Alligator mississippiensis: one gene and its partners. The protein of the gene in region 1 interacts with the protein of each later gene in a pairwise test. Links are inferred from orthologs where the notes say so. Each region holds a gene or a part of one and is shown in the gene's direction. Other genes may lie near its edges. The genes, in order: AGTRAP, MCEE, PIMREG and MRM1.

What was found.
Region 2: the proteins of AGTRAP (region 1) and MCEE interact in binary tests that used the Homo sapiens proteins (3 or more experiments, as listed by UniProt). The two-hybrid records come from large-scale screens. The link is inferred for Alligator mississippiensis from reciprocal best matches to the Homo sapiens genes AGTRAP and MCEE.
Region 3: the proteins of AGTRAP (region 1) and PIMREG interact in binary tests that used the Homo sapiens proteins (3 or more experiments, as listed by UniProt). The two-hybrid records come from large-scale screens. The link is inferred for Alligator mississippiensis from reciprocal best matches to the Homo sapiens genes AGTRAP and PIMREG.
Region 4: the proteins of AGTRAP (region 1) and MRM1 interact in binary tests that used the Homo sapiens proteins (3 or more experiments, as listed by UniProt). The two-hybrid records come from large-scale screens. The link is inferred for Alligator mississippiensis from reciprocal best matches to the Homo sapiens genes AGTRAP and MRM1.

The regions. Positions count from the first base shown.
Region 1 is NC_081836.1:12,387,403-12,394,512, forward strand, and holds the start of AGTRAP (type-1 angiotensin II receptor-associated protein), read left to right. Parts: upstream 1-4,098; 5' UTR 4,099-4,155; coding exon 4,156-4,182; intron 4,183-7,110. UniProt on the Homo sapiens protein: Appears to be a negative regulator of type-1 angiotensin II receptor-mediated signaling by regulating receptor internalization as well as mechanism of receptor desensitization such as phosphorylation.
Region 2 is NC_081834.1:35,436,889-35,444,467, forward strand, and holds the start of MCEE (methylmalonyl-CoA epimerase, mitochondrial), read left to right. Parts: upstream 1-4,571; 5' UTR 4,572-5,601; coding exon 5,602-5,689; intron 5,690-7,579. UniProt on the Homo sapiens protein: Methylmalonyl-CoA epimerase involved in propionyl-CoA metabolism.
Region 3 is NC_081837.1:9,024,452-9,031,879, forward strand, and holds the start of PIMREG (protein PIMREG), read left to right. Parts: upstream 1-4,419; 5' UTR 4,420-4,526; intron 4,527-7,428. Other genes in the region: F-box only protein 39, read right to left, coding at 335-1,348. UniProt on the Homo sapiens protein: During mitosis, may play a role in the control of metaphase-to-anaphase transition.
Region 4 is NC_081837.1:5,044,277-5,051,706, forward strand, and holds the start of MRM1 (rRNA methyltransferase 1, mitochondrial), read left to right. Parts: upstream 1-4,418; 5' UTR 4,419-4,479; intron 4,480-4,827; 5' UTR 4,828-4,864; coding exon 4,865-5,733; intron 5,734-7,102; coding exon 7,103-7,196; intron 7,197-7,430. UniProt on the Homo sapiens protein: S-adenosyl-L-methionine-dependent 2'-O-ribose methyltransferase that catalyzes the formation of 2'-O-methylguanosine at position 1145 (Gm1145) in the 16S mitochondrial large subunit ribosomal RNA (mtLSU rRNA), a universally conserved modification in the peptidyl transferase domain of the mtLSU rRNA.

The DNA.
Region 1 (7,110 bases):
CTCTTAGCTTTCCCTTAGTTTCTGACAATGAAAAATATAATAGAACAATCTGCTGTTGCAAAGAACTCAGAAAGACCACAAGGGGTCAGAGTGGACTTAACACCATGGATTCCTATTTGAAATCTCTGGGTTTGTCCTGTGAATCCCTCCATTGGCACACCTACCAGTGCTAACATTGTGTGGCACCCTGTGCCACCCTTGAAAAGCTCTCCAGGCATCCCTGGTTGAGAATCACTGGCTTGCACAAACAAACATGCAAGAAAGCTTTGCTTGGGCCTGTTTTCACAACTGGAAGTACCTGAGGCTGCTGTTTCCCCATTGGTGTCTATAGGACCCCACAGCTTCCCTAGTACCTCCACCAGGCAAGCTTATATCCAGTCCAGGCCAGGAAGTGGCCCATGAATGGGGTCTCAACACTTTGCAGACCCTTCCCCTCTAAGGGAAGGGAAAGAGTCTGTCTAGCTTCATCCCTGTGTATCTTCCCTGGGTTTACACAGTGCAGCCAGGGTCTGGAGGTGAGTGGTCAGAGCTCACCTGGGAATCCCACTGCTTTGGCTGAGCAGGGCTGAGTACCTGACCCAAAGCCCAGTCTGGAGAGTAGAGAATAGTGCAGTCTCCTAGTCCTCTCCCTTATACTGCCAAGAATACAGCAGGATGGGTTAGCAATGGTACCACCAGGATCAGCACTGTACCTAGACTCCTGGCAGGTGAACTTTTAGTATCGGGCCCCCCTTTATCAGAGATAATAATAATAATCATTATTTTCACCATTTTTGGGCCCCCTTTCTGTCTGGGCCCTGGGCAGCTGCCCGGTTTGCTCATGCCTGTGTCCGGCCCTGACCAAGATACTTAGCACAGACCACCCCGTTGCCTGCTATTTGGTCACAGCTGAGCTGCTCTGAATCAGCCAGCTAGTTATAAGAGTTCTCCAACCTGCTCCCCGCTGCCTTCCAGTTCTCGCAGGAGCCTGGTTTCCTGAACCTCTTGCTTATCTCTTATGCTGTGTTTGTGTCCTTTAGTTATATCACATCCCAGGATTGAGCAGAAGGCAGCCACAGAGGCTGCAACACAGTTACGTGGTAAGGCAATTTACAGGGTACAAGCAAAGAGAAGCAGAGAGAAAAAATAGGACTGACATGCCTGAGACGTGCAGATGCATAATGTGTGCAATGGCTCGTGTTGTTTTCATCACCGTGAGATCATTAAGTCATTTCCAAATCCCTTGAGTCCGTGACATGCAAGCTCAGGATGTAATAATCAGGGGTGAACTAATTGCACGACACACTGAAGAACAAAGGAGAAGAAAAGTGCTGTATTATGGAAAGAGGCCATGCATTAAACAGCAATTACATCAATCCAAATTGTGGTGCTTGCTGTATGAGGGATGACTTCGGTCTCAATCTGCACCAAGCGAAAGTCTCAGAAGGAATCAAGAGTCATAAGTCTCGCTGTATGCAAACAGTGATATGATCCTCAGATTCAACATGACCAGACTGCAGCAGGAATGTGTCTCTAAATTGATACTGTCCTTTCCCCAATGCTGTGATTCCCCAGGTGTTGCCACAATAAATCAGTTATTTAGTCTCTGGTTGGTAAAGGGATCAGACGTGCAAATAGCCATAATCACCTGAGCATTTCTACTGAATCATGCTTTCAACCTGGGCCAAAGCCCTGCAAGGGACAAGAGAAAACTTCCAATATGAGTCTGTCTATACCGGGTGACTAGCAGGTGAAGTGTCTGCTGCTTCCATCCTGGGACTTCATCTTCACCATTTGACGGCCCGGATTCCCAGGAGATGGGTTCTCAGAACCGTGGGAGATCAGATCCGGCCGTTCAAGCTGTGTCATGCTGAGTGTCTGAAATCAGCAGCTGCTTCTGAAAGTCTTGGCCATCTGTTTCTGTGGGTAGACCGAGGCTCTGTAGGAAATGGGGAAGTGAGAAGCAGCTTATCACCCAAGTGGAACGTACCAACAAGGGAGACATTTTCTACCTCTTCTGGGGAAAACTGGTACAATAGGAGCTTGCTCAGAGGACTTGTGCAGCTAGGTTAGCTCATTATCATCATCATTTGGGCAGGGGGCTGGACTCGATGATCTTCCGAGGTCCCTTCCAGCCCTAATGTCTATGAAATTATTGCTGGTTGGGGATCTTCTGGGGCTATCACAGATCCTGCCTTGTAAGAGTCCAGGTGTAACTAAACAGCAGTAGCAATACATTTCTCAAGTAAACTTGCCCTGTGCTGAGCCCTCTTCTCACTTGCTGGCTCTGCTGTTTATGATCTCAGTTCTCTGTGTGGCATTTAGTAGACTAGCACCTTATAAATAACAGGTCACTTCACTTTGGCATTTGATTAGCATTTTCTAGATCCCAAAACACAATGACTTCAGCAACCAGGGGGACTATAGATGCAATGACAGGCAGGTCAAGTAGGGCAAAAATTGTGTCTGCTGGGAAGATCATTGGTTCTAAATTAACTATTGTCCTGGATTCCCCAGTGCTTCCTGCATAGCCTTGCATTGCAACACTTCAACAGTAAACCAGATTACGATATGACTCATCCACTTCCCATTCTGCTTCCGTTGGAACTCGGGACTCTTATTTCTCAGAGGCTTCATCTCTGCTGTGAAATGGGATTGCAAGGAGCAGCTGATTCAATTAAAGCATTTCCGTCTGCAGAGGCAGGTGAGTTAAGTGTCTGCAGGACAAGGAAAGTCAGGTGAGGAAGATGATGCTCTTTGATCCTTTATATTCTCTCTAAAATGACTCAGGGTGAAATCCAGTCCAGAAGTCAGACCATAGGCTAAGTGAGTGGGACACTGGGAACTCTGATCCCTGCCTAGCTGTCTGCTATGAACCTCTTTCACAGTGGGGGATGGATTCATTCCTGTTTCCCCCATGCCTTGCTGAAAGCTGTGAAATGGTCTCACTGTGGGAGGGCTGGGAAGGGGTGTGGCTAGGGTGGCCATCATAGAGGACAGTCTGGTTGCCAGTCTTCAAGAGAAAAATAGAGGACAAAGGTGTCCAGTTTCATATCAATAGAGGACAGAGTAGCAGAAAACAAATTTGAAAGCAGCTGAAATTCATTTCAGAGTGTCCTCTATAATGGGCACCCTAGGTGTGGCATGAGCTTTCTCATCTCTTCACAAGAGGTATTTCTCTAGCAAAGGGGATTTAGGATCCAGATGGCTTGTGGCCTAAAACAGTTTTTTTAAAAGAAATTTTTCATGTTCCAAGCCAAATCAAGTCCAAATCTGTGAGTCAGTCCAGAACTGTAAGTGGCCCTACACCCAGCAAACATCCTCCACCCCGCCTGGAGCTTCAGATATTTCCAAAGTCTTTTGGCTATCACCCTATGTGCAGGCCCAAGCCCGGAGGCCTGGCGTTCGGATGCCCCCAAGTTTTGCCTGCCCGCAGCCATATGGCCGCAGCAGCAAGGTAGGGAGCAGCCTCCCATTTCCATAAAGTGGGCATTAAGCCCCAACACCTCGTGGGTACAAAACCACGCCAGAAGAACAGTTCTCTCGGGGAATACTTAAGGAAAACTGCCTTCCTGGACCAGATACACAGCGTTTCCTCTGCCAGGTAAGTATTAGGCTTGCGGCCTAAAACACACAAAGGTAGAAGGATGCGCAGTCACATGGGAAACATGAGTATGCACACACGCAGCCTCCACGGGGCCTGTCCTGGAACCTCTCCCCGTTCCCAGTGAAAGCACACGCTGCTCCTGTTACCAAAAGGGACCGATCCACCAGCGACTGCAGGTGTGCAGAGCCCCGCACAGCTGTGGCCAGGGTGCGAAAGTGCCGGCTGCCCCTTGAAGTGTGTCCTGGTTGCCTTTCCCCACCAGAGCTCTGCGGCTGTGGCTCCTGCATGGGTGGGGTGGGTGCTGCTGGTGTCCCTCCTGGGGTGGCACATGAATGAAGCGCAGGCTGTGGGTGGGTGACAGCCAGCGTGGGGCACCCTCAGGCACTGGCTGTTGGCCATCTCCCCTACCCCCGGGGGGGGCCGGCTGCCACCTCCCCGGGGCCTCTCTCTGCAGGCCGGCTGTAGAGGGGCGGGAGAAGCGGGCGGCCCCACGCGGGGAGTCACGGGGCGGCGCGGGCGGCGGGCGGAGCCGCCCCGAGTCGGGAGGCGGAGGGTCCCCGCGCGGCAGCATGGAGGTCCCCGCTGTGAACCTCAAGGTGCGGGCGAGGGCAGGGCGAGGGGGGACGGGACGGGACGGCACCTCCCGGCGGGCGGGCGGGCGAGCGAGCGGAGAGCGCCGCCTGCTTCCAGCCCGGACTTCACCCCTCCGGCGCCGCTCCCTGCGGCTGCCACGGGAGGTCCTCCCTGCGGAGGGTGGGGGGCAGCGGTGGGCGCAAGTGGAGATGAGGACAGGGCAGGAGGAGCGCAGTGGTTTCACACAGTCCAGCCTTCAGACTTGCTTTCTTCTTCAGGCCCTTGGTGCTTGCAGGACTCTTGGCTGCGGTCCAGGCCTCCTCCCCCTGCACCCCTGATGCTCAGCGATGAGTGGGGTGCTGGGGCCCTGGGTGCTGGGGGGCGAGCGCGGGAGCCAGGGACTTCCTGAAACGCTTGTCACGCTTCTGTCACGTGCGTGTTTCTGCCCCTGCGCTGCAGAACATCAGGAAACAGGCAAACTTCCTACCGGGGGGGAACAGGCAGCATTTCAAATGCATTCTTGCAACATGAACCCTGTTAGTTATTAACCTAGTCCTGCCACAGATGCTACTTTCAGGCCCGGCGTTAAGAGCCTGGAGGCTGTGAGACGCAGCGGATGGTTTGTTTTGCTTCCTAACAGAGCTGCCCTTTGCCAAGCTCAACCTTTGCCAAGTTTTCAGATAGGGTGGTGCTGGGCAAGGCTTGTCTCTGAGGAAGGTCACCATGCCCCGCTAGATTTTGATCACTAAACCTTGGTGCGTGTGATATTTTTTAACCTGCAGGGTTTGAAGCCCCTGCTGAAAAGCTGCGGGCCAGGGCTGTGCAGAAAAAGAGGCTCCCTCAAGTGTAAGTGCGAATCAACACCTTAGTGAGAAGCGTGTCCTTCCTAGGAGAGGGGAGATGAAAAAAAGGCTTGAGTGCTCTTGAACTGGCTTCTGACTGAGTTTGTCTGGCGTCCAGGCACCTGGCTGGGGGGCTGGAGCTCCGCATGAGGGTTGTCTGCGTTTGTGGAGGTGTTTTTGCAGAGTAACTCCAAAACAATTGTGCCGCCTCACCTCACGCGCCCAATTCCTTTTGGATCAGCTCAGCTGCTTGGTGCCGGTTGCGCAGCATCCTGGGTAGGTGCCACAGGCGACCAGGCTCTCTGCACGCAGGGTTGTTCCTTGTGTGTTGCTGTTGGGACTGGCAAACACCCAGGGTTGCTGTTCCCCCTCTCTTGCTTCCCGTGCAGTTTTGCAAGCTAGCGTCGTGTTTGAACTGCTGGCAGTCAGCGTGCAGGGGATGCTGCTGCGCCCCACAACCCTAGCAGTCCTTAATATGCAGAGGCTACTGCAGCTATGTTTGCCATTGCAAGAGTGGGCGACTGTGGGTGCCAGTGCTGCTCCCCTGAGCTGGGTGAAGGTCTGAAAGTGGATTAGCCACTAGATGAACTTTTCCTGGATTGGTTTTACTCTGTGGAGCTCCAATTCTCTGCTCAGGGGAGCTCACACTACCTAATAGGAACGGATGGCAGTGCAGACTGCGGATGGGCAACAGCTGTAGCAGATCATTGGCTGATGTGTTTGCAAGAAGAGCAACCCCAAGCCACATCAGGGGCACAGCTGCCTGTGGGTCCCCCTTCATGTGGAGAAGCACAGGCCCATTGCCATCTGGAAGTCTGCCGCCCTCAGCACTCCAGACAGCAGCTCACCAGTTTGGGGCTGGTCATTCAGTGCTCAAGGGTGCTGTTGCCATGGAAATGTGTTGCTATAGAGGATGCTGGTGCTTGCAATATGCTACATTGTCAGAGCCTCAGTGGGGAGGATGTCTTATTCCCCTGCTTTGAGGTGAAGCACTGGGAATTTGCAATAAAGAAGGCCCTCAGGAGAGGGCACCTACAAGGATTTCAAGGAGCGGACCCTTTGGCCATAATAGCCTTGCTCCTCACCGAGCTGCGTACATGGCAGCAGCTTTTGCATTCTGCTGGTTTAAAGGTTGCATCACTGCTTTCAGTACACCCCAGCAAAAGAGCATGGAGCTTCGTTTTTCCAAACAGTCAAGATGTGGAATAGATGCCTCCCGGTGCCCGTTGTCTGTGGGTGTGTGCTGCTCTGGTGGCAGACTGCTATAGACACAAAATCCCTGCATGGGCCTGCCAGGGGGTGCGGGTGCAGAGTCCCCATGCTCATGGTGTCTTGGTGGAGTCGCGAGGAGAGGGCCCCTGGCTGGAACCGCCGAGTGCCCCTTACGTTTCAGGGCAAAGCTACGTGGGGTTGTGGACTGGGCAGGAACGCTGCATCAAGTGTTGTCCAGCCACTGGTTCTGCATGTCCTTGCTTGACTGCTGTCCCTGCGCCCTCTCCAAGGAAGCCTTCCCCCCTCTCCTGTCATCCTTATACAGCATTTCATCTCTGCTTTCTGTCTTCTCTCGACCTGGGGCCATGCCAGGTGCTGTGAGACCAAGGAATCACGGTCAGGATGTCCTTGTGTGAGTTGGGTCAGCAGTGATATAGGAGTTGTTCTTGTGCCAATTCCGGTCTCTGCAGCAACTAAGATAAGATGTTGCTGACACCTCAGTTTGGGAAGGCCACTGGCCAGGTCTCGTCTCAGGCTGGGCTGAGCTTGGAGGAGTGAGATGTCTCCCCTCTGCCCTTCTGCTGGCTTAAAACTCCTTGGGTTGGAGGTTTGGGGGCAGCAAGGGAGAAGGGTGGCTCAGAAAGGCAGTTGTAGCATTGCTGTGTTTCCTGCTGCTCAGCCAACTCAGAGAAGTCCCAGCCTCTGAGCTGCTCGGGGGGTGGGGGCACCCAGGCTGTCATGAGAGAGCACGTGGCCCTGTGTTGTTGGGGCCAACATGGTGCATGCTCTCAGCTGAAAAGTCTCCCTTGTGACCTGAACGGATCAGCCCAAAACAGGATATGAAGGCTTGCACTGTCATTGTCCTGAATCTAAACAGTTAACAATGCTGAGTTTGCT
Region 2 (7,579 bases), on another chromosome or scaffold:
TTTTAAATAAAATGTTATACTAAAAATCAAACATCTACTGTATGTATCATCTATAAATTTATTAAAATTATATATTCTGAAAGATTTTAAGTGAGGGGTCCTTGACAGCTCATCAAAACTGATTAAGTGGTCTGCCAGTTGAAATAATTGCCCACACCGTTCTAGAAGGACACTCCAATATATGCAGAAAGACAATAACATGCACCTGTGACAAGATAGTGCCCAAGGGCAGCTATATTACCTCCTTGTGGCCCCCTCTGTCTTTTTTGGTCCCACTCAGATCTCCCTGGATGACAGCCCATTCACTTGTCTACCATACCTTGTTGGTAGAGAAAATTAATGGGGGAGGCTGCCCACCTGAGATTGGCAAGTCCTCTGGGGCTCTCCCTCTCTCCTATTTGTTTTTGGTACTTGTTTCCTCAGGTCTTCCTTCCTCCCCTACCACCACACCAATATCTCACAGATGACACAAGTTATCATTTGAGTGTGCATCTCATCCCTTTACACAGCTTGGCCCTCTGGCCACAAAAGTTTTGTTGGGGCTTTAGCCCCCTTCCTCTAGCTCAGTGGTTCTCAACCTTTTTTGTACTAGGACCCATTTGTAAACATCAGTGGCCAGTCCTGACCTAGTGGCCCTGACTCCCAACCCATTGCTCCCCATGCCTGGGCTCCAGTCCCAGTCAGCCCCTCACAGGCTAGAGCTCTGCCAGCCTGAAAGGGAAAAGTCAGTTTCCCAAGTTTTTCTCCTTTAAAGGAGAATCCATTTTTAAAGTTTGTTTGCAACCCTTTTGATATATTCTTGCGACCCACAGGTTGAAAAACACTGTTCCTGACCCCGGCATCTGGGCCCCAGCCCTGGTCTCACCCTTCCAGGCTCTGGCTAGCCTGCTCATGTTCAGGCCTCAGCCACTCCCCTTCTCTGTCTTTTCTGGTTTGGGTTACTGGCCCTCTGTCTCATACTCCCACCCTGGCAGGGCTGCTACCATGCCTTCCTGCCATCCTATGGCCTCCTCCTCACAGCCACACCTCATCCATTAGTATAGACTGGAACATAAAAGGAAGAAGCTACAGCTTTAACAAAAGCCCACCCTGCTCAGAACAAATAAATATAAAAGAAAAAAATGCCTTCCCATCACTTTAACAAAACCCTCTCATTCTCAGGGTAAAATAAACACACACCCTTTCAACCCTTATCTCCTGGGGCTCTCTCCCTGCTCTGTTTCAGGTGTTCAATGCTGATTGGAGTCTGCCAAGTACCTCCTGGAATACTAGCTCCCTTTTATGTCTCTCTGACCCTCAGAGAGCTGAGGTTTTTAAACACCTGGGAGAGGCTTCTTCTAATCAGCTGACCCTCCCTGGTTGGCATAGCTGCATCTCATTAATTCTCCCCTACAGCTTGCGCTGTTTCCTGGCCCTTGCTAGGCTTTGCCACAAGTAATCTCTTTAGTAACAGGAGCCTTTTTTCAAACCTCCTTTCAAACATTTTTTTCCCTTCTCCATCTATGCTTTTTGAATGGAATGGTTTAATATAATCATCTACCTCTTTTCAAACCTCCTTTCAAACATTTTTTCCCTTCTCCATCTATGCTTTTTGAATGGAATGGTTTAATATAATCATCTACCTCTTTTCAAACCTCCTTTCAAACATTTTTTTCCCTTCTCCATCTATGCTTTTTTAATCAAATCGTTTAATTTAATCATCTAATATCTGTGTACCACTGTTCTCTGCATGACAAACTATGCTGTGCACTCTTTTATTTTGTCCTGGCAACTGCCTCCACATTTTACAGGCCCAGGGGTCTCCCATTGAAAAGTGGTTGCAAGACTGAAACCTAATTTTGCAAAGTGCTTTAGGAATCAGTTTATGTGGAACACTATATGTAAATTGCGGATTTGACCTAGCAGTTCTTTCTTAACAGAAATAATCCTCATTCCCATGAGTATGCCGATTGATTTACATGGGACTACTCATATCAGTAAAGGCTTACAGTATCAGGCCCTGGAACTGTATGCTATATAATCATCTGTTTGCTGCTGTTGCTGTTTTCTCCCTTGGGTGACTTTAATACAACTCTAGACTTGGATATTCTCAGTACTGAATAACATATTCTAAATATAGTAAAGCTACAGTCATCTTACTATGCAGTTTTGTGTCTATAACCTAGATTCTAAGGGGTTTTTTGGACTCCCATTTTCAGCAGATATTGTGAGAACCAAATGTCTGATGGTATCCTGCTTTACCAGCCTAAAGATTCATCCATGCACATATTTACACAACTGTACCATTCACAATGATTAATGTTTCCCCTTCAGTTCTAGTATTTTGTAACAATACATGATGGCTTCCTGGTCAGATTAGTTCCACCAGGCAAACTCTGCTTTGAGACTATGTAAACAGCCTTGATGTAGGAGCTTCAGCAGGGGATCGAGTCCATCTTCTCGGTAGGCTGCAAGCTTCTCTGCGGCTGTTACTCTCTTAAGGTTCAGTAATATGCTTGTTATGTGTGAACTTTTGTCTGCAGAGGTTAATACATGTCAAGGTTACACACATCATTATGGAAATATGGTACTGGCCTGGCCCCTGTCCTGCCTCAGCCTTCCTATAAACCCTCCAGTGCATACTGCCTATGGGGCATAAGGAAGAAGGAACGGGGAATAAGGAAACAGCTATAGCCTCATTGCATGCTGTGCCAGTGGAGCAAAGCTTTACAGTGCACAAACCATTCACACTTGCTGCAAAGACTCCTCCATCCATACTTTCAACTTCACTCAAAGCTTTCCACACTCTCCTATAGGAAGAGGAACATAAATATTTATGCCATCGTTTCTAACACAACAGTTAGCTAATTATTGGGTATTGCAGTTTATTTCAATAAGAAGGAGAAATTTCTTGATACAATCCTGTTTATATACAAGGAATGTACAAAGTCCAATTTTCTGGTATGGAGTAGGAATCACCAGCTCCGTACCTAGACTTCTGGCAGCCCCAGGGAAACTTTTACTATTGGGGCCCCCTTCGCCAGAGATAATAATAATCAGACAACAGAAAAAAAATTATCATGTTCATGTCTCCTTTCTGTCCGGGCCCTGGGCAGCTGCCTGGTTCACCCATGCCTGTATTCGGCCCTGGGAATGACAAGATAGCTTTGCTTATAGCTCCAAGTCTCTTTCATCCAATTTTTTATCTAAAAACCTCTCCCCTTTTTCTTCAGAGTCATACTACACAGGCTTTTGTGGCTGTATATGGGTTTTTTTAACTCCTCCTAAATGCCAGTACTATTCCTTCCATACAAAGAGCTCCAGCACCCTGTCCTGATCCATAGCTCTCAGTGATCTGTCAATTCTGTGTGTAAATATCCTTTAAAAAAATCAGGGTCCAAAACCTACATTTTCTGCATCAGTTTCCATGCCCAACCTTGTGAACTCTTACACGTGTGTACAGCTTTATGTGCATGAATAGCTAGGGAACAAAAAATAACGTGTTAACTTTTTGTTCATGGGTAACCCCCCAAATTATTGTAGGACAGAGACTCAAGAATCTAAGTACTGCAAAACTGGAAAGAGAAATCCCAAGGGTTAGTAACACAGCAGTTTTCTCTGTACAAGCCAGGAGAAAAGCACAAAGTAAACAAGACCCAGAGTGACCTGTAAACGAGCACTTTAGGATTCTTTTAACAACATGAAGCATTATCAGTCAAGAAACAGGACACCGCCTCTCATCTGGCAAGTTTTCCAGTACTGGCACAGGAGTAGGCCTCAGCTAGAGGACAGGATTTTCATTGCCTTTCTGACCCAGTGATTCTCAACCGGGGTGCCCTGAAACCCTGGGGGTCACAGGATGTCATGCAATGTTAGCACAGTTAGGCGTGCAAGCGATGAACCTGGAGATTTCAAACAGGAATCCAGAGCAGCCAAGCCCTTCTGACCTGCTCGGGTTTGCCTCCATCCCTGAAAGTGACCTCGAGTCTATCGGGGGGCACCTCGAATCAAAAAAGGTTGAGCACCGCTGTCCACCAGGAAGGTGTGGGGGTCTGTCCTCGAGTGAGATCTGCCGGGGCTTTGCTCCTGTGGCCAGCAGGGCCTGGTGGCTCAGGCCCCTCAGGTTGCTTAGCCCGACGTGAGGGATGATGTCAATGGGATTCAAATTGCCAGGGAGCTCGGGGGGCTGAGCCCCCCATAAGAGACAAGGTCCCCCTGTAATATTTGAAAACCATAACCCTAACTGGGGTCTCCAGTTTTATTAGGGCACCTGATGGGCTGCCAGTTTTTTTTGCAGACCCCCACGAGAGTCACAGCGTCCTTCCATCCACCCCTGACGGCAGGGACCTGACCAGGGAGGGCTGCTGTCCCCCTGCCAGGTTTCTTCCCAGAACAACTCCGCCCCGCGCCGCCCTGTCCGCGGCGGAAGCTGTCGATAAAGTTGGCTTTGAATGACCCGCGGCCAAGATGGCGGCGCCCACGGGCAGAGCGGTGGCTGGCGCGGCGCGTGAGTGGGTCTCGCTGCGGGGCCGGGCGGACGCGGGGTCCCGCTGCCCCTCGCGCAGGACGGCTCCTCTCCGCGGCCGGGCCCGGGGCAGCGACTGCACTGGGGGGGAGGGCGCTGCTGCCACAGGCACGTCCTTGGCCTTGGTGGCGTCTGCTGGCCGCAGCGTCCCCCCAGCAGCGGGCGTGGGAGACTTGTGGAGCTGGTGGCTCGAGCCCGGCGGGGCGGGTTTCCCTTGTGCACGGCCGCCCGGCCCCGCCGCCGTCGGGGCAGCTTCCCTGCGCGCGGCCTGGGGAGGGAAATCTCCCCTCCGTTGGCAGAGGCCTGTGGCTGCCTTTGCCGCACTCATTTGTACCAGTCTCGTGCAGCTTAAGGCCTCCTGTTCCTGTTCTTGCCCCCCCCCTGCGCAGTGTGATTGACGGTCTCTCCTGGGAGCCAGCCGTCTGAATTGCTGTGTCCAAACCGTGCTATTTTGTTTGTTTAACTGATGACTTGATCTGGAGCGGGCTGTTGAATGCCTGGCATAGCCCTGCCTAGGCTGGTGTTTGATAAGGGAGCTGAGGCCCAGTGCCTGGGTCTCCTCTAGGCCCGGGTCTCATCTATGCCCCTGAGTATATAAGGGGTGCACCAGGCTGTGGGAGAACAGTTGTTCGCCAGGGCTCCCCAAGGTCTAACGGCCACAAACTTATGGTGGTGCAAGCACCGACTCTGGACTCATTCAAAAAATGTTTGGATGCTTATCTTGCTGGGATCATTTGACCCCAGCAGACTTTCTGCCTATGGCAGGGGGGCTGGACTGGATGATCTCACAAGGTCCCTTCCAGCCCCTAATGTCTATGAAATCTATGTCAAGGACAGGATCCTGGGCTGCAGCAAAAAGGCACTTAACCCATGGGAGAGGTGGCACCTTGCTGATCCCAGAGAGATCCTGGAGTCATCGAGGCGATTCTAGTGTACATTAGAGAAGCCTGAAGGCCAACGTAAAGCGTGCTGGCTGCTACTGTCCCTAACGGTTATTGGTCCTTTCAGATTGCTGGGCTTTAGGAATAACAGGCCGTGATCCATTTGTGCTTGTGCCAGTGTGGGGAAGGCAGTGTTGGATATTTTCTTATGCCTTAATGCCGCATGAGGACCCTCTGTTAGCTAGAATGTGGCTTCACTCGGACACACAAGAGAATTGGGTGCAACTGATTAACTGGTGTCAGGGTATGTAACTTGATTCACATGGCATAGATTTGATCAAGTGCCCATTAAATCAATTGGCATCTCCCATTGACTTGCACGTGTACAGTGATACACTATTTATGTAATTATGTGAAGGGTCCGGATCTATTTTTTGATGTATGTTGCACTATACATTCCCTGCTTATAAACTCTTGTCACTAAAAGTATGTTAGTTCCCAAGGATAGGGACTACTGTTAGTGTTTGAACAGTGCTGAGTACTTTGATGTTGATCAGTGAAATAATAACTGAATTCAAAAGGTAGTCTAAATACATGCTGGAGCGAATCATTAAACATTTCAAAAGGTACTGAAAGGTTGAAGAAAGTGACATGACACACATTATATAATCTTTGTGAAATGTACGTGAAAGCAATTTTCTCTAAATGGTAATATTTCAGAAACGTCAGCCAAAAATATCCAATTTTCTGCTATCTCTAAAATATATAATAAAATAGGTCTTCAGGGCTCCGTATTGAGTGCAATGCTGACTATATTGCTGATTTAAAAAAAAAAAAAAAAAGCATTTACCAAAGGCTTAAAAACTATATATACTGCATTACGAGATTGGAAGGAAGGCACTTTTGTGGTTTGACAGTTGGTTAAAAGATAAAAATCAAAGGGTAGGGCTAAATTGGGTGGGCAAAATACTGCCCATGAGGCTGGATCTGGCGCACTGATTTTGTCCAGCCTACAGCGGGTCACCTTGCCCTGTCCAGCCCAGGCTGTGGCTCATGTAGGGCACAGCCCAGGCTGTGGCTCATGTAGCTGGTCCCACTACCCCTAGGCATTTAGCAGTGCTGGGTGGCGCAGTGGCCGGGCTTACTTCCTGGCAGCAGCCACTTCATCTGGCTGCTGCCTATGCACCCTGGCCTATTCATCCCATATCCACTGCTGGCTGGGCAGATGGGATGGGGCTACAGTCAGGCAGGGAGTAGCATCTGGGAACGGGAGAGTTGCAAAGGGTGCCAGTTCTGTGGACAGGGACGTGCAGCAAGTGGATCATGGCTCTGCCTTGGGTCCCAGTCCCTGCGCTGTCACTGCCTCAACGTCCCGGCCCTGCCCACCCATTCTGCTCCCAGATGCAGCTCCCCATGACCCGTGGCCACCTCTCATCCAACTGGCTGTGTGCCCTGCCCTCTCAGGTCCCAGGCAGTCTCCATGGAGTCGGTGAAAGTGTGGGGCCAGGGCAGTGCTGCAATCTGCTACCTGCATACCTCTGCCTGCAGAACCAATGCCTGTCACAGGGACTTGCAGGGAGTGGATCGACTCTGCCCCAGCCCTGTGGTGTCATGGCCCTGCGATCCCAGTTCTGGGTCGGCCCTACCCACCATCCTGCTCTCAAATGCCACTCCCCAGCGCATCTGTGCCTCCATCTCAACCTCCTGGCTCAGCACTGAGCAGAACCACTATGGGGAGTTTTGCTGCGCTGTTGTGGGGAGAGGGTGCAATGCTGCTAACCTAGCCTGCAGCAGTTCACCAAAACTCCCTGTTACCTTCTGGCCCAAATAATTACCCATCTCTGGGTTAAATGCTCACTTTTCAGGATGGAAGGGGGTCAAATATGGGGTCCCACAGAGATCTTTGCTGAGCCCTGTTTTGTTCAACAGTGACCTGGAAGTGGGGATGCACAGTAACATCAAGTTTGCAGATGAAACCTAATTATTCTGGGTAGTCAAGTTCCAAGCTGACTGAGAGGAGCTGCAGAAAGATCTCACTAAGAACCTCACTAAGTGAGTGAGGTTAAAAAAAAAAAAAAAAAAAAAAAAGGCAGGTGAACTTCAGTGTCAACAAGTGCCAGGTAATGTACCTGAGGAAAAATAACCCCATGTATACATAATGATGGATTTTGAATTGGCTATTACAAGTTGGGAA
Region 3 (7,428 bases), on another chromosome or scaffold:
TCTACATGTTAAACAGAATAAATTACATCTGACACTATAAAGGAATAACCTGCACTAGCACAAAGCTTCAAATCCCTAGGAACATATCAAAGCACTAGGACCTGTGAAATCAATATGGTCTGAAAGAAATGCACCATGTTTCCCCCTCCAGTGAAACAGTGTCCCGTTGGGACTACCGTTTAAGGGGGCACATCAATTTAAGGTGGGTAAAAGGGCCTTGTGGGCTTTGAAGGGCTTCACTTTCACACTGGCAGTTGAGTATAAGGCTAACACGGGCATGGCCTCCTGTTCAAATCAGGAACAGGAGAGTACAGTGTCTCTGTCCCCACCGTACCTGTAGGATGTGCTTGTAAGATGGCAAGAGATTGGTGAGGGTGGGTCTCATTGTCCAGTCCGGGTCCCTGAAATAACAGCTGCGTAGATTGATGCTCCTGACAGGGATCTCTGCTAACAGGATCCTGGCTAACTTGTCATGCTTCATGACTCTTTCAAAGAAGAAGTTCACTCTGAGTTTGGGGGCTCTCTTGGCTAGGTTTCCCCAGGATACCCCCCAGATTATTTGCCTATGAGGGTCATGGATATGGCATTTGATATTTAGGGTCCAGAGAGAATGGGCATTATGTTCACACAGCGTGTCCAGCAGTTCATCGGAAATGCAGTTGTAATTGAGGCTCAGGATGGCCAGATTGCGGAACTTGGACATGGTTTCGCAAAACAGGGGGCTTCTGTAGACAGCGAGGTGACGCTCGAAGAAATTTTCTATGTTGACTTCAGAGGCAAGGCTTTTATTTTTCAAGTAGCTCAAAGAGCTCAAAAGCTCACAGCCTTCTTCCAGCGTCACCCTGGCTCCTTTCAAACTGAGATGATCCAGATGGGAGCCTACTCTTTTCAGGAAAAGTATTAGGTTCTTGATAAACTGATTCCTGGTCACGATTTTCCAGACCAATCGGTCCAACTCCAGGTGCTGCATACTCAAGGACACCAGTCGGCTGTTACATTTGCCCAAGCGTGAGAGAAGCCCTTTCATTGTCACTTGAAATTTTCGCGTCAAGATAGCATTGTAAGGATTCAGGAACCTGATCTCGAGGTGTTCCAAGTACTTGCCAAATTTCTTGACATACCACAGAGAAGATTCAAGCTCTGATGTGTGCAACCTAGAAGGCCTCCCACGAAAGGTGATGGTTCTGGTTCTCCAAAGAGACCCTGCGTACATGGCCTGACTCCATCTCTTACAGACTAACGCAGCCTGGGATCTGTCCCTATCGTCTAACCACCAGAACACGTGGCTGAGGCAGACATCAGGTAGATATGCCCAGCAGCTCTGCTCATGTTCACTGTCATCCTCCATGAAGGAGACAGTCAGTTCCTGCTGGGGACAGAATCAAACCTAGGTGGTCTATAGATCAGGAAGGCAGTGGCTAGCTTCTTGGCTGTCTCCCAACAGATTAAACTCTTCCAATCAAGTGGCTAAAATGTTGCTGCTCTGCATCTAAAAGCATTAATCCATCCTTTGCCTCCTTAGGATCTCTGGTGGCCAAATGAGCTCTCAGATCTAAACTGTGATCTAACCTAAATCAAAAAAGAGAAAAGCAATGAGTCAACTCCCACAACAGGAAAAGCAAAGAGCACAGTTTCAGCCCCTTGACTTCCAGCAGAGCTGAAGCACCTTGCAGTATAATGGGGCAGAGGTTTCAGTTTATCTGCGCAGAGTCCAGAGACCCCTGAGGGTGGCTCTTGTGCCTCATCAGATGTTTCTGAGCCTCTCTGAGCCTCTCTGAGCATGCTGGTGTCCGTACAAAGCACCACTTGCTTTTGCACTGAAAAGATCACTGCTCTGCCCAGAGCATACTAAATCTGCTGATTTTCCTTCTGCCTATTTCAGCAGGCACTTGAAATACCTGCTGGAGATTTTTTTTTTTTTTTTTTTTTTAATTTCTGGAAACAGCTCTGTTTGAAGCATGTATTCCCTGAGAGGGAAATAATCATCATGCAGTTCATCCAATGGAGTCATCCAGTTATTGGAAATGTGGACAATCGTGCCCAGTAGATCGAAGACCCAAGAACAAGTGGTAAAAGGAAGAGACCAACACCACTCAGTATACAAAAAAAATTAGTTACCAGTTTTGACTTCCAGTCTGGATTGCTTGGGAGCTACTTGGGCCTCAGCACCCTTCCTCCTCTGATCTGCTCCCTTCAGGGTTCAGTGATCACCATGCCTTCCCCCCGTCCCAATCACAGGGAGCTCAGCTATTGCCAGGGAGCAAGAGGTAGCCTTTGTGATGTCATGGGCACTGACCTGACTTCAGGGCAAGCAAGGAGAGGGCACCGGCCCTAAGCCGTGGTTGCATACGGCTAACATGACAGTAATGAGGAAAGAAATCGTGAACAGGGAACCTCACAGCTGCTTACTGCCTCCCGTCAACAGTACAGTTACGTATGTGGCAGCTGTCACACAGCAAGGAACGAAAGCAATGCTCGCTGCAAACGAGGACCTGCAAACTTCAAGAGCGTGATGCAAGCTGATTTTCCACTGCCAATAACAAGTCCCAAATCAGATGAGAGGAAAGCATGCAGAAGCCACAGAAAGTTCTCCAAACAGATCTGACAGGTGTCTAGATCATATCCTGGTTTTATTTCCCCGCCGCCCCAGCTATTTCTCTCTCTCTCTGACCTCCCTCTACATGACTTATCCTTTTGTGTGCAAGTACAGCTCCAAACCCTGCTAAAAGATACAGAGACTTGTGCCATACCTCCGGATACTGTAACAAGGCAGTTCTGCAGCTAGGTTCTCTGCAAATTTCCCTAGAGATATGCTTAAAGGGAAAAGGAGTTTGCAAGTACAGGAAGATACTGAACACATCAGATGGAGGAGCTCGGAGATACACCTGGGAGTCACTGAATGATGATGAGAAAGGGAACGCAAGCATACCGGACTGAAACAGCACCAGAGAATAAAGTTGCTGATAAGATAGGGGTGACTGCTCCATGGTTTTGGACTGCTAAAATTAGATCATATGATAGCCTACGCTGCATCCATTCACCCGCATCCTTCTCGGCCACGGTGTCACGATGCCACACAGTTATCACTAGGTGTCAGCACAGTTTAGCTGTGAGATAAAACACGGACAAAGTACTAGCCATAGAAGGGAAAGAACTGACCTCCTATCACAGAGGCTTTCAAAAAGGAGGCAACTGTTCAAACAGAAATGTCTTATGGGAAAAGAGTTGAAGTGAGTCATTTACGCATTTAATGATTTCCCTCTGCAGTAGGATAGAGAGCCATTCTCTGCACCTGTGTTTTCTGCGTGTGAACGGCAGCATACGGCACACACTGTACGGTGGGCAATTTGATTTGAAACCTTGCCAGTAATGGAAGATCTGAAATTGGATCGTTTCCTATTCCCTCCGTTATAACGTTCAATTGCCATATAGATTGCAATTCATTTTGATCAATTAATCCAGATGCTCTTATTCATGCAGAGTTCTCAGGAAGCGCTCTGAAGACAAAGAAAGGATTTGATCCAGCATCAGCTATTGAGAGCGGCAGCAACTGTAACTGAGACTAAGAGAGTTAAGACACCCAATTCCTGCAGCGTCTAACTTTATCAGAGTCCCGGCCTGCGTGATGAAGCGAGAGCAGTGGTTAAACTTTTTAGACCCGAGGCAGCTCTCTGACACTTTCAGTGACTCGCCATGTCAAAAAATAAATATGGGAAAATAATAGAGCAATTCTTCTGTCGCAAAAAAATTGGGATGTTTATCTTGCTAGGGTGATCTGACCCCCGCTGACTTCCTGCCCCTTGGACAGGGGGCTGGACTCGATGATCTCGCGAGGTCCCTTCCAGCCCTAATGTCTATGAAATCTATGAACTCAGAAAGACCCCAACAAATCAGAACGTTTTTAACAAAGTGGATTCTTCTTTGAAATCTCTGGACTTGCCTTGTGAATCGTCTCTAGGTGCTTGCACACCGAGCAGTGGTAACACTGTGGCACAAGAATCTCAGGGCACCTGGTTGAGAATCGCTCAGCATTGCCACTTGCGGTCACTTGGTTAACCACACGACTCATCACCTACCGCTTGCTTCCCTCACCGACAACCACAAACCACACCTGTGGTTCCAGACTGCTGGGTGCAAAAGAAAACTGCAGCACCTTTCCCACCCTGGCTAATGTGGACAAAAACACTGTAGCAAACGATGCAGCAGAATGGGCTGGGGGTGGTTTCCTCTGCAGCAGGGCCTGGCCCGCTTCAGCCGACAAGGGACATTTCCTGGAGGCAGGACAAGCCTCCTTCGCACACCTCCCAGAGGCTGCTGCTGGCTGAGCACGGGTCAGCGTCTCGCGGGGAAGGGGAGATGCTAGGCTGGGACTCGGCAGAGAGGTTGAGCTGCCGGGCCGAGCTCTGCTCCCGGCCCTCCCAGCCTTGTCCCGGGCGGGGCGGGGCGGGGCGGGGCCCGGCGGGCCGGCCAATCCGCGCGGGGCCCGCGCAGTTCAAACCCGGAGCCGCGGCGGGACGCGCGGGCAGGTAGGAAGGCGGGCGGGCGGGCGGGCGGGCGCGGGGCGCGGGGAGCTCCGGCCCGGCGAGGCGCGGGGCGCCGCAGCTCCACCCCGCTCCTGCACGCTCGCACCTCTGGAGCCGGCTGCAAGAGCAACTGGAAACCGAAAAGATGCGGGGCTATGGAGGGACGGGGCTAGGAAAGCCCGGCAAAAGAAGGCATTGCTTTCTGCGGATGCTTCCTAAAGAAATCCCAAAAAGACATTGCTTTCTGCTGATGCTTCCTAAAGAAATCCCAAAAAGGCATTGCTTTCTGCTGCTGCTTCCTAAAGAAATCCCAAAAAGACATTGCTTTCTGCTGCTGCTTCCTAAAGAAATCCCAAATAGGCATTGCTTTCTGCTGCTGCTTCCTAAAGAAATCCCAAAAAGGCATTGCTTTCTGCTGCTGCTTCCTAAAGAAATCCCAAAAAGGCATTGCTTTCTGCTGCTGCTTCCTAAAAAAAACCCAAAAAGGCATTGCTTTCTGCTGACGGTTTCTAAAGAAAACCCCCAAAAAGGCATTGCTTTCTGCTGCTGCTTCCTAAAAAAATCCCAAAAAGGCATTGCTTTCTGTTGATGGTTTCTAAAGAAAACCAAAAAACCCCCCAAAAAAGGCATTGCTTTCTGCTGCTGCTTCCTAAATAAAACCAACCCCTCCCCCCCCCAAAAAAAATAGGCATCACTTCCTGCTGCTGCTTCTAAAGACAACCCAGAAAAGGCATCGCTTTCTGCTGCTGCCGCTTCCTAAAGAAAGCCGGAGGGAGGGTGGTGTCCCACAAGGGAGGCGGGTTGCCAGCTCTGCTTAAATCCGTTTCCAGCATGCCAGCGTGCACACGAGGCAATGCGAATGTGCCCGCATGCTTGCATCGACCTGTTGCAGATCACAGGGCGCAGACTTTAGGTTGGGAAGGCAAAGGTGCACGGCTATGGCATTTCAAAACCCCACTGAACTAACATTTAATATTTATTTTAATGAATGGCCCAGCATTTCCTAGGCATTAGGGACTGGAAGGGACTTTGTAAGATCATCCGGTCCAGCCCCCTGCCCAAGGGGCAGGACGTCAGCTAGGATCAAAAAATCCCAAAGCACCCAAATGTTTCTTACAAGAGTCCAGAGCAGGCGCTTGCACCACCTCTGGAGGAAGTCTAGTCCAGGCCTCGGGGGCTCGGACAGTAAAGAAGTTTTTCCTTATGTCCAGCCTCAAATGGTCTTGGAGGAGTTTGTGACCATTCGACCTTGTCATCCCTCGGGGCGCTCTGGTGAACAGGCGTCCCCCCAGATCCTGATGCACACCCCTGATGTACTTAAAGGCTGGCACCAGGTCACCCCTGAGCCTGTGCTTTTCCAGGCTGAAGAGTCCCATAGCTCTCAGCCTGTCTTCATAAGGCTTGTTTTCTTGCCCTCTGATCACACGCATAGCTCTCCTCTGGACTCTATCTCCTGGGTGACTCAGCAGTCTCCTGGAGATTTATATCTAATTCCTGGAGAATCCAGGGCAATCCTGGAGGGTTGGCAACCCTAGCAACAGCACGAGCATGACAGGGATGCAGCCCCAAAGCGAGCAGGCTGCGATTCTCAGCTGCAAGGTCAGGGCTGAGTGACTTGCAGGGTGCACCGTTCGTAAGGACGCCTGGGCCTTAGTGGCCGAGTAGCAGCAGCCGGATAGACCTGGACGTGCTGCGTCGGGGAGCTGTTGTGCAGAAGCACTTGCAATGCAAATGCAGCCATTGGCATGCAACTCGACCATCCCTTTTGAGAGCCATAATAGTCGAGGCATGCATGCACACCCACCCACACCAACACAACTTCACAGCCTGCTTGAAATACAGGTATGGCAGAGGTTTCAATAGATAACCTTTAAGGTCTTGGGAACAAAAATCGGTAACCTCACTGGTCACCAAAACCCATGCATTTACTAAAGACAGTGATAGCTCATTAAAACTTACTGCTCCCCCTCTTCACCTCTCTGTATCCTCTTCCCTTGTGAACAATCTTACTCTTACAAAATGGGGGTTAACTATGTAGCAACTTGTCTTTTCTTGGTCTGTAACTACTTCTGATACCTTCTTCCTCCACAGGTTTACTACTTCCTTTTCAAAAATGAGCCTTTTTATTCATGCAATAGGGTTAAACAAAAGCATTTTTTCCTAAATGGTATTTACCTTGCTTCTCTCCCAGACCTGAAGAAAGGCATTTGGTGCCCCAAAGCTTGCCTAACCTACCCTCCACCTACAATAAATGCCAGTAAATGATGCGATAAATGGTCCCATAAACGATATTGCTTCTTGCACATTCCCGAAATTAGTGAAACTGCTGTGCATATTGCAGTTTGTCCTCATACCTATATGCAAAATTGTATTTAAGGAAGTCATCGGTTTATTGTGTGCTTTTGATATGTTACTGTCCTGTGTAAGCCCTTGCAGAAGCTGACCGTGGGGTGTTTGCTAGGTGGATGGGTGGTTGCTGAGGCTGGGCACGGAGGGAAGCCATCCACGAAACCCTTTCAGAGCACGCAGCACATCTCAGTAGAGTGCCCGTTTTAAAGCTTCATTATGCTTCTACACTGCGGTACATTTATTAATATGCAGTGGAGTGTTGAGAAACATAGTTGGCTCTTATCTCCAATCACTAAAGCATATCTGAATGCAATTTGCTTTGCCTTTTTTTTTTTTTTATATCATTTTTAAAGCAGCTTCCTTCTGAGTTCATACAGTTCAGTGATTCAGCATGGGGGACTTGTTTATTAGCAAGAGCTACTAACTTAAAGTATTCCCTTACAAGGAAATTGAGAGTAGGTCGTCTGCTGACTATGCCCCATAGGAGACCCAATCTACTGGTCACCAGAGTCCAGAAAAAATGGATGGGAATGAAGGGTGAACATTTATCAATTAG
Region 4 (7,430 bases), on another chromosome or scaffold:
TGGGAGTCCCCCACCTCCACATCTGCGTGCGTTCTTCTAGATCACATTGCCTGTCTGCACATCTTCAGAGACTTCTTATAGATACTAATTAAGCTTCCTGTCAGCTAGATAAGTTGGCTTACAAAGGGGTGACTTCCCTCCCATGCTGTACCTGGTCTGCAGCTAGCCAGAGGCCTGCAAGGCCTTAGGGCTCTCCCCAGCATCAAATAACCCTGGCTAGATGCCACGGAGAAATGACTTGCACTAGGAGCTACCGCAACTCAGAGGACTGTGAGAAGTACGCAAGCAGAAGCATTGGGAAAACAAATCCTGGGAGATAAATGGGTTCTTGCCCATTATATAATATATAACCCTCTTGTAAGTAGTTTCCACCCTAATGGCACCAAACGCCCTAATGAATCAAATGGGAAAAGGAAGCTGAACAGACCAGCTTCACTCCATTGAGGCTCAGGAGTGTTGCACGGGGAGCTCGGCGCTGCCAGGGCAGCCCAGGGGATGGATGAGTAACACTCCTAGACTGCGCTTCTGTGCTCTGCAGCAAAGCTGGCGAAGCGGGGAGAATATGGCCAAAGATCTGCTGATCAGGTAGCTCCTTTCATAGGCTCCTTACCCTGCTTCCTCACACGCTGCTCCAATGCAGTGCTCGTACACAAGATCTTTTCATCTCCGGCGACTCAGAGGAGGAGACTCACTTCTGTGCCTGCTTGTAATATTTAAGCAACATGCCTTGGAGGGCGCTCGTTAGAAGGCAAAGGTTTTTGGAGCACCTGTGCTTCTGGCAGGCCGTCTGCTCCTGCGAGAACATTTTAATGAGACCGTTATTAATTATGGAGACTTATTAAAAAAAGAAATCTAGAGCAAAAGCCCTGGCCTGCCCCCGGGCTCCCTCAGCTCATTGTTGAGTGAGTCCTGGGGTTGCATTTCTTCAACATCAGCCTTTTTTCAAATGGTTGTCTGGGGACTAAAGGGGAGAGCAGCCAGGTGATGGGCCTGAAAACTATCCTGAAATCTTCACTGTTCTCTAATGGATGAAACGCAGGACTTGGATTTGGCTTTGGGCTCCGTGAAAGATGCATTTTGTGCTCTCGGGAGCAGTGCTTCACCTCTGTATTTGGATGACGTGATCCCCCTTCCTCTAGCCTCACTCTCCCAAGACTGCACCTGAGCTGTGGATGGAAAGATGGTGAATTAGTGTTGAAGCAGTATCCTGAGCAATGGATTTTGCTAGCTGGTGGCAGAGCATCTGCACGTGTCCCTTTGGCCTGTCTGCCTTAGCAGGGTTTGCAGCATTTTCAGCACCTGGAGAAAGCAACCCAGCAGGGTAGCAGGTTGCAGGCACACAGCTATCATAGTTTTTGTGGGACAGCTAAGGTTTTTTTCCAGGTCAGCAGCTTTGTAGCACTATATCTAATTCATCTACATATCATAGCACAGTTCTGTGACCCAAATAATGCTGTGATCCTGCCCACACTTGCAGCTTGCACCGACCGGTCTGTCATATAGTAGGGGGATTTTTTTTTTTTAACTAACATGGGTACAGTGTTATGAGGTTTAATTATATTGCTGTAGATACGTCCCTTTTTTGTATGACACTTCCGTGGAGCACCTTTGATACTGGTATAACTGCATCCACGTGAGGCGGGGTAAAATTATACAGGTACAGCTAAAGCAGCACAACTTTCTGGAGCAGACAAGGCCCATGTCACACTGTTGGATCAGTATGTCACTCCACTGTCAGTATGTCTGGACACGATGGGTCATACGACACAACAGTTTGTGCCAGGCTGTCCTGATGTGTCTATATGGCAGGCATTGAGCTCTGAGAAGTGGCAACCCTAATCAGTCCTCTGCGGTCCTTTTACACAGCCAGCTGGGTTTGTTAAACCCTTGCAACCTGGTGTGTTAGGGGCAATGAGCAATCAGGGCTCGTAGTAGAGATGATATCTTTTATTAGGCCAACAAGATTTTTGCAAAAAAAAAAATTCTTTCATTGCAAGCTTTTGGGCACAAACACCCGTCATCAGGCCATCAGGTCAGTACAAGAGGAGCGCTTTTAAACCTGTGCATTTTCTCGTTGACAGACTGAGCCAGATTCAGTCCAGGTATACGTACCTCCTTTGGCTTCTGCAGGTGAGTGTGGCTCCTTATTGCTTGTTTGCGGTGTCAGCCTTATTTTGTCTCTGTTCACCAGGCTGCTTCTGGCCTTTTCAGTAGATGCCAAGCGCTCTCTGCTGGTGACCAAGAAATAAAGCATCCTTAGGTTTAGAAATAAAGCATCCTTACGTCTCTGCCACATGGCCAGGGGTTGTCTGACAATGAGAGCAAGTTATGAAACTAGGAATAGCAAGACTTGGGCTTCTGTCTTTGGGGATTCTTGCAGAAATGGGGGTCTTTTGGGGTAAAAACCAAGTGGTTGCTGTTGCCAAGCAAACACTAGCAAAGTGAGCGCATTAGGACGCAGGATTTGGGAGACCAAGGTTTTGCTCTGAGCTGAGCTACTTGATAACCCTTTTTCTTCTCTGTATCTCTGTGCCCCTTATACCAGGCTTGTCCATTTAAACATAGGCTGCTTGGGGCAGAGATGGTCGTGGACTTGTACCGAACCTAGTGCAATGGAGCTGCGATTTAGCTGGGGGTCTCCAAGCACTACTTTATTACAAACCAGTACACTCAATAACTAGGACAGCTACTTGGATCTTTACAAGATGAGCTCGTACCACAGGTAGACAAACCCCATAGGTGCGTCGTCTCCATACCCCAGTGTTTTCTTTCTAAAAGTCCTCTAGGAGCCAGGTGGGTTGGATGGCAGTTCTTGGGAGAAAACCCCAGGCTGGGGTGTGGGAGATGTGGGGATGCTGTCCCCACTGGAGGGAAGGCAGACACCACTTCAACACCAGGCTTTGTGCCCACTTGGGTCCTCTCCCCGTGGGGTGCCGCCGTCTCCCTGCATCAGTGCCATTGCCCACACCAGGGCACCCAGGGCAGGGGCTGTGATGGCTCTCACGGGTGAAGGTGGGCATCTTCACAGGAGGGTGCTTGCTTCCCAGGACACTTGCCACAGCCAGGGTGCAAGACCCAGGGCATCCCTGGGGCATGGACAGGGCTGGGGGTGCTGCAAGGCATGCACGGCCCTCATGCAGCCCGGGGCTTGCTCCTCCCAAGGGGCTGGGCTGCACCCTCCTCTCCCCTGCCTTCCTCCCCCCAGGAGCTGAGCTATCTCCTGCGGGCACCTGTACATGTTGACTTTGTCTAGTTAAATATATTCTTTGGTGGGGGGGGTTGGCTTAACTCTTGCAGTGTAGCATGATAACTGTACCAATGTACCACAACAAAAGACAAAACTTCAGTGTAATGATTTAATATTTCTTAAATTTAGCTTTCCAGCTATTAGCCCTGTTTGTTACAGGCCAAAAAACAAACAAACAAACCAAAAAGCATCTAAAATTGGATGTTTTTAATATGTACCTTTGTCCAAGCAAATGCCACCTGCATCTATTTCTGTATAATTTTCTGGACCCAGGATCTCTGGACCCAGGCATGTACTGTGTCTCGAATGTCAGGTCAAATCCTGACATTGTAACCCTGTGAATATAGAGGAAAATCAGTGAGAAATGTGACCCTGGCATTACAATCTTGTGAATATAGGGGAAAATCAGTGCAAAATGGGATCCTGGCATTATAACCTGGTGCATATAGAGGAAAATCAGTGAGATGCGACCCTGGCATTATAACCTTGTGAATATAGAGTAAAATCAGTGCAAAACGTGATCCTGGCATTGTAACCTGGTGCACATAGAGGAAAATCAGTGTGAAATGTGATCCTGGCATTATAACCTGGTGACTATAGAGGAAAATCAGTGTGAAATGTGATCCTGGCATCATAACTTGGTGCACATAGAGGAAAATCAGTGTGAAATGTGATCCTGGCATTATAACCTTGTGAATATAGAGGAAAATCAGTGCAAAATGCGATCCTGGCATCATAACCTGGTGCACATAGAGGAAAATCAGTGTGAAATGTGATCCTGGCATTATAACCTGGTGACTATAGAGGAAAATCAGTGTGAAATGTGATCCTGGCATCATAACTTGGTGCACATAGAGGAAAATCAGTGTGAAATGTGATCCTGGCATTATAACCTTGTGAATATAGAGGAAAATCAGTGCAAAATGCGATCCTGGCATCATAACTTGGTGACTATAGAGGAAAATCAGTGTGAAATGTCATACTGGTATTATAACCTTGTGAATATAGAGGAAAATCCGTGCAAAATGTGATCCTGGCAGTGCAACTTGGTGCATACAGAGTAAAATCCGTGCGAAACGCGACGCGGCTCCCGCAGCCCGGGCCCCAGGTCTGGTCCATGCAGGACGCACGTGCCCCGCCTGCGCTGCCCGGCGGCGGCCGCCGGCCACCAGGTGGCGCCCGAGGGCAGCGCAGCGGCACCCGGAAGCGGAGCGCGGGCACGTGGTTGCCAGGTAGGGGCTGCTGCAGGTCTGAGGGGAGCCGTGCGCCCTGCCCCCCCCCGGGCTGTGGGGCCTCCCCCGCCCCCCTCAGACGGGCCCAGCCAGGGGCTGCTGCAGCTGCTGGGGGCTGAGGGGAGGGAGCCCCCCCATGGGCTACTCCCTGCCCCTCCAGGGGTGAGGCAGTGGGTTTAAACTGTAGCCACACTTCCCCCACAGCTGAGCTTTTTCCTGTCAGTGTCCACACAGTCGCTCCTTTTCTGCAACAAGCTCCCCGCCTGGCATTGCACCCTACGTTATTTGCTCTGATTTTATTAAGCGTCTCTATTCTGAAAATTGAGTCCTGTTTTTGTCTCTCCACAGGGTTTTGTTTTTTTTTGGCATCTCCGGGACGTCAGATATGCAGCCCATCTGGGCTCTGTGCACGTCTGTTGCGTCAGTGACCTCTTCTGCCAGACTGGCCTTTGCACTGGAAGCAATGCAAGCGTTTAAGTTCAGCACCTGGAAAGAGAGGCGACTTCGGTCCGCTTGCAGTCGCAGCGGGGTTTTTTGGGCGGCCAGATGTTTTTCAAGCAAGCAGAAGCATCTGCCGGCACGGTTCGGGTCGCCTGGTCAGGGAGGGGACGAGGGGAACCGGCAGCAGCACGACGGCCATCGGACTCGGACGTCCGAACAGGTCAACCCCGAGTCGCCGCCACCTCCCCGAAGCTGCAAACCCCCGAAGGACAGTCGGCCGCTGGGCTGGAAGTACAAGAAGAGCCCGGGGCCGGCTGCATCATCCAGAGAGGAATTTAGAAACTTGAGAGAAGATGATTTTTCAAAACCGTGGAGACGGCGCTCGCAGAAGTCTTTGTCCGTTCGAAGAACGCAAGGCTCCGAGATCTTGTTTGGCGTCGGCCCCTGCTCCATAGCCTTCTCGCAGGCCAAGAGGAACTTTTTCCAGTTATTCGTAAAGTCGAGCAGCAGCGGCCTGCGCCCGGTAATGGAGGAGTTTGTCCAGCAAGCTAAGGCCCGTGGGGTGTCTGTGCGCTACGTCAGGAGGGAGGTGCTGGATGCCCTTTGTAAAGATGAGGTGCACCAGGGGGTTTGCTTAGAGGCTTCTCCCCTCGGCCTCAAAAGCGTGGAGGAGACTGAGGTTCCTGCCTGTCGGGATCCACAGCAGCTTTGGCTGCTATTGGAGCAGATACAAGATCCCATGAATCTGGGCACGGTGCTCCGCTGCGCGTACTTCTTAGGGGTTGACCAAGTGGTGATGAGCAGAAGCAACAGGTAAATGCGGTGCTTTGTATTTTGTAGCAAGGTTTCCTTTGCACGTTACTGCCGGTTCCCAGGCAGCGTTAATGTCTGGTGCACGTCTGTAGCTCCTTTTTATCCCAAACAACTCGGAGAATCAAATAGCCAGACTCCATGTAACCCACCCTGGACCACACCGTTGTTATTTGTTTCACGTGGAAGACGCTCGCTTACCCTGATGATGAACGGTATAAAATCCTAAGGCTGGCAGATGGGTTGTCTTGGGATGGAAGGAACTAAAGCCTGCGTCGTTGTGAAAAGCTTGGCTTTGTGTCGTGCACATACAGAGGTTGCCAGATGTTTATAGCTCAAAAGTGGAGTGTATAATGTGACTCAAACGGCCCAGGTGCCGAAGGGAAGCACAGCTCCGAATCCTTTTCTGCTGTTTTTCTACCGTCCAGTGTGAGTTTATTCTCGATTCGGCTGAGGTTCAAACATGAAAGAGAGTGGCTGTTCTCACTCCACAGACAACTGCAGCCTCACCCCAGGGCGCTCTGCTTGGCAGGGTCATGCCCATTGAGTGACTATTCCTCTGCATAGGGTTGCTGTTATTTTATTTTATTTTTTGGGGAGAGGTTCTGGAGAAGTGGGACCACTATTTGTTTAGGGACTGGAAGCAGGATGCCAGTCTGTCCAGGCGCTGCCTGTGCCTGTAGTGGATTGGTAGCCCCTGCCCCAGAGAACTTGTCCTCAAATATAAGAGGGCGCAGATGGATGCCGACTGATTGCTGGGAATAGCACATGAGCAGGGTAATAATCCCAGCATTTCCATAGCTCTCCTGTGCTTTGCGTCTAGTTGGCATTACGGCAGAGGTGGGTGTTCAGAGGAGGACGGTGTGAGGCTGATGAACCGTGGGAGAGGTGCTTAAGAGGGGCTTGCTTTCCCCTATCATCTCTCTTCTCAGTTGCTTCATAGAGGTGAATTGGGGATTAACCTGAGGGATAGAGGTGTGTGGCAGGAGAGTCGTGGGGACACAAGTCTGGGGTTTGCATCATTTTCTAATAGCGCTCATCCTCCTCTCTGGGTGGGCCCGTGGTTGCAATAGCTACCTGCCATGTATCCTCTTGAGACAAACCCAGCCACAGGTGCTTTTTTGGCCTCTTTCTTTGTTTTACCATCTTCAGTTTTTCACTTGTGCTCAAAACGCCTCTTGCTACCTCCTCCCTGGGTTCGGGACCTCCCATTTCCTATAGGCACGTGCATCCATATAGTAGTGAGTAGAAAACTGATCTAAAGTACATCTCAAAGGGCAAAGAGTGAGGTAACAAACACTTTTCCCCCGTCCCCCAGGATTTTCAATGTGCTTTGTGTTCACTGGGAACTTTTTGGCTTTTCTACTTGCAGCTGCCCCCTGACACCAGTCGTGAGCAAAGCCAGTGCTGGAGCTATGGAAATTTTGGACGTCTACAGCACGGATGATATTCCAAGATTCCTGAAGGTAGAAGAAACCAGGTTTCCTGGATTTATTTATGTATTTATTTTGAATATTTACTTTAGTGGAAAGGATACAAGTGTTAGAAAGTTTGAATCTCTGAATCTAAGCAGATGTTGGGAACAGAAAAGACACCATCTCAAACCTGCCTTTTGCAGACACACACCCTGTCATTTCTGAAGTGCACACTTTCTCTCGCCTGTTTGTTGAGCATCTGCAGTGGTGGTGCCAGGACCCTTT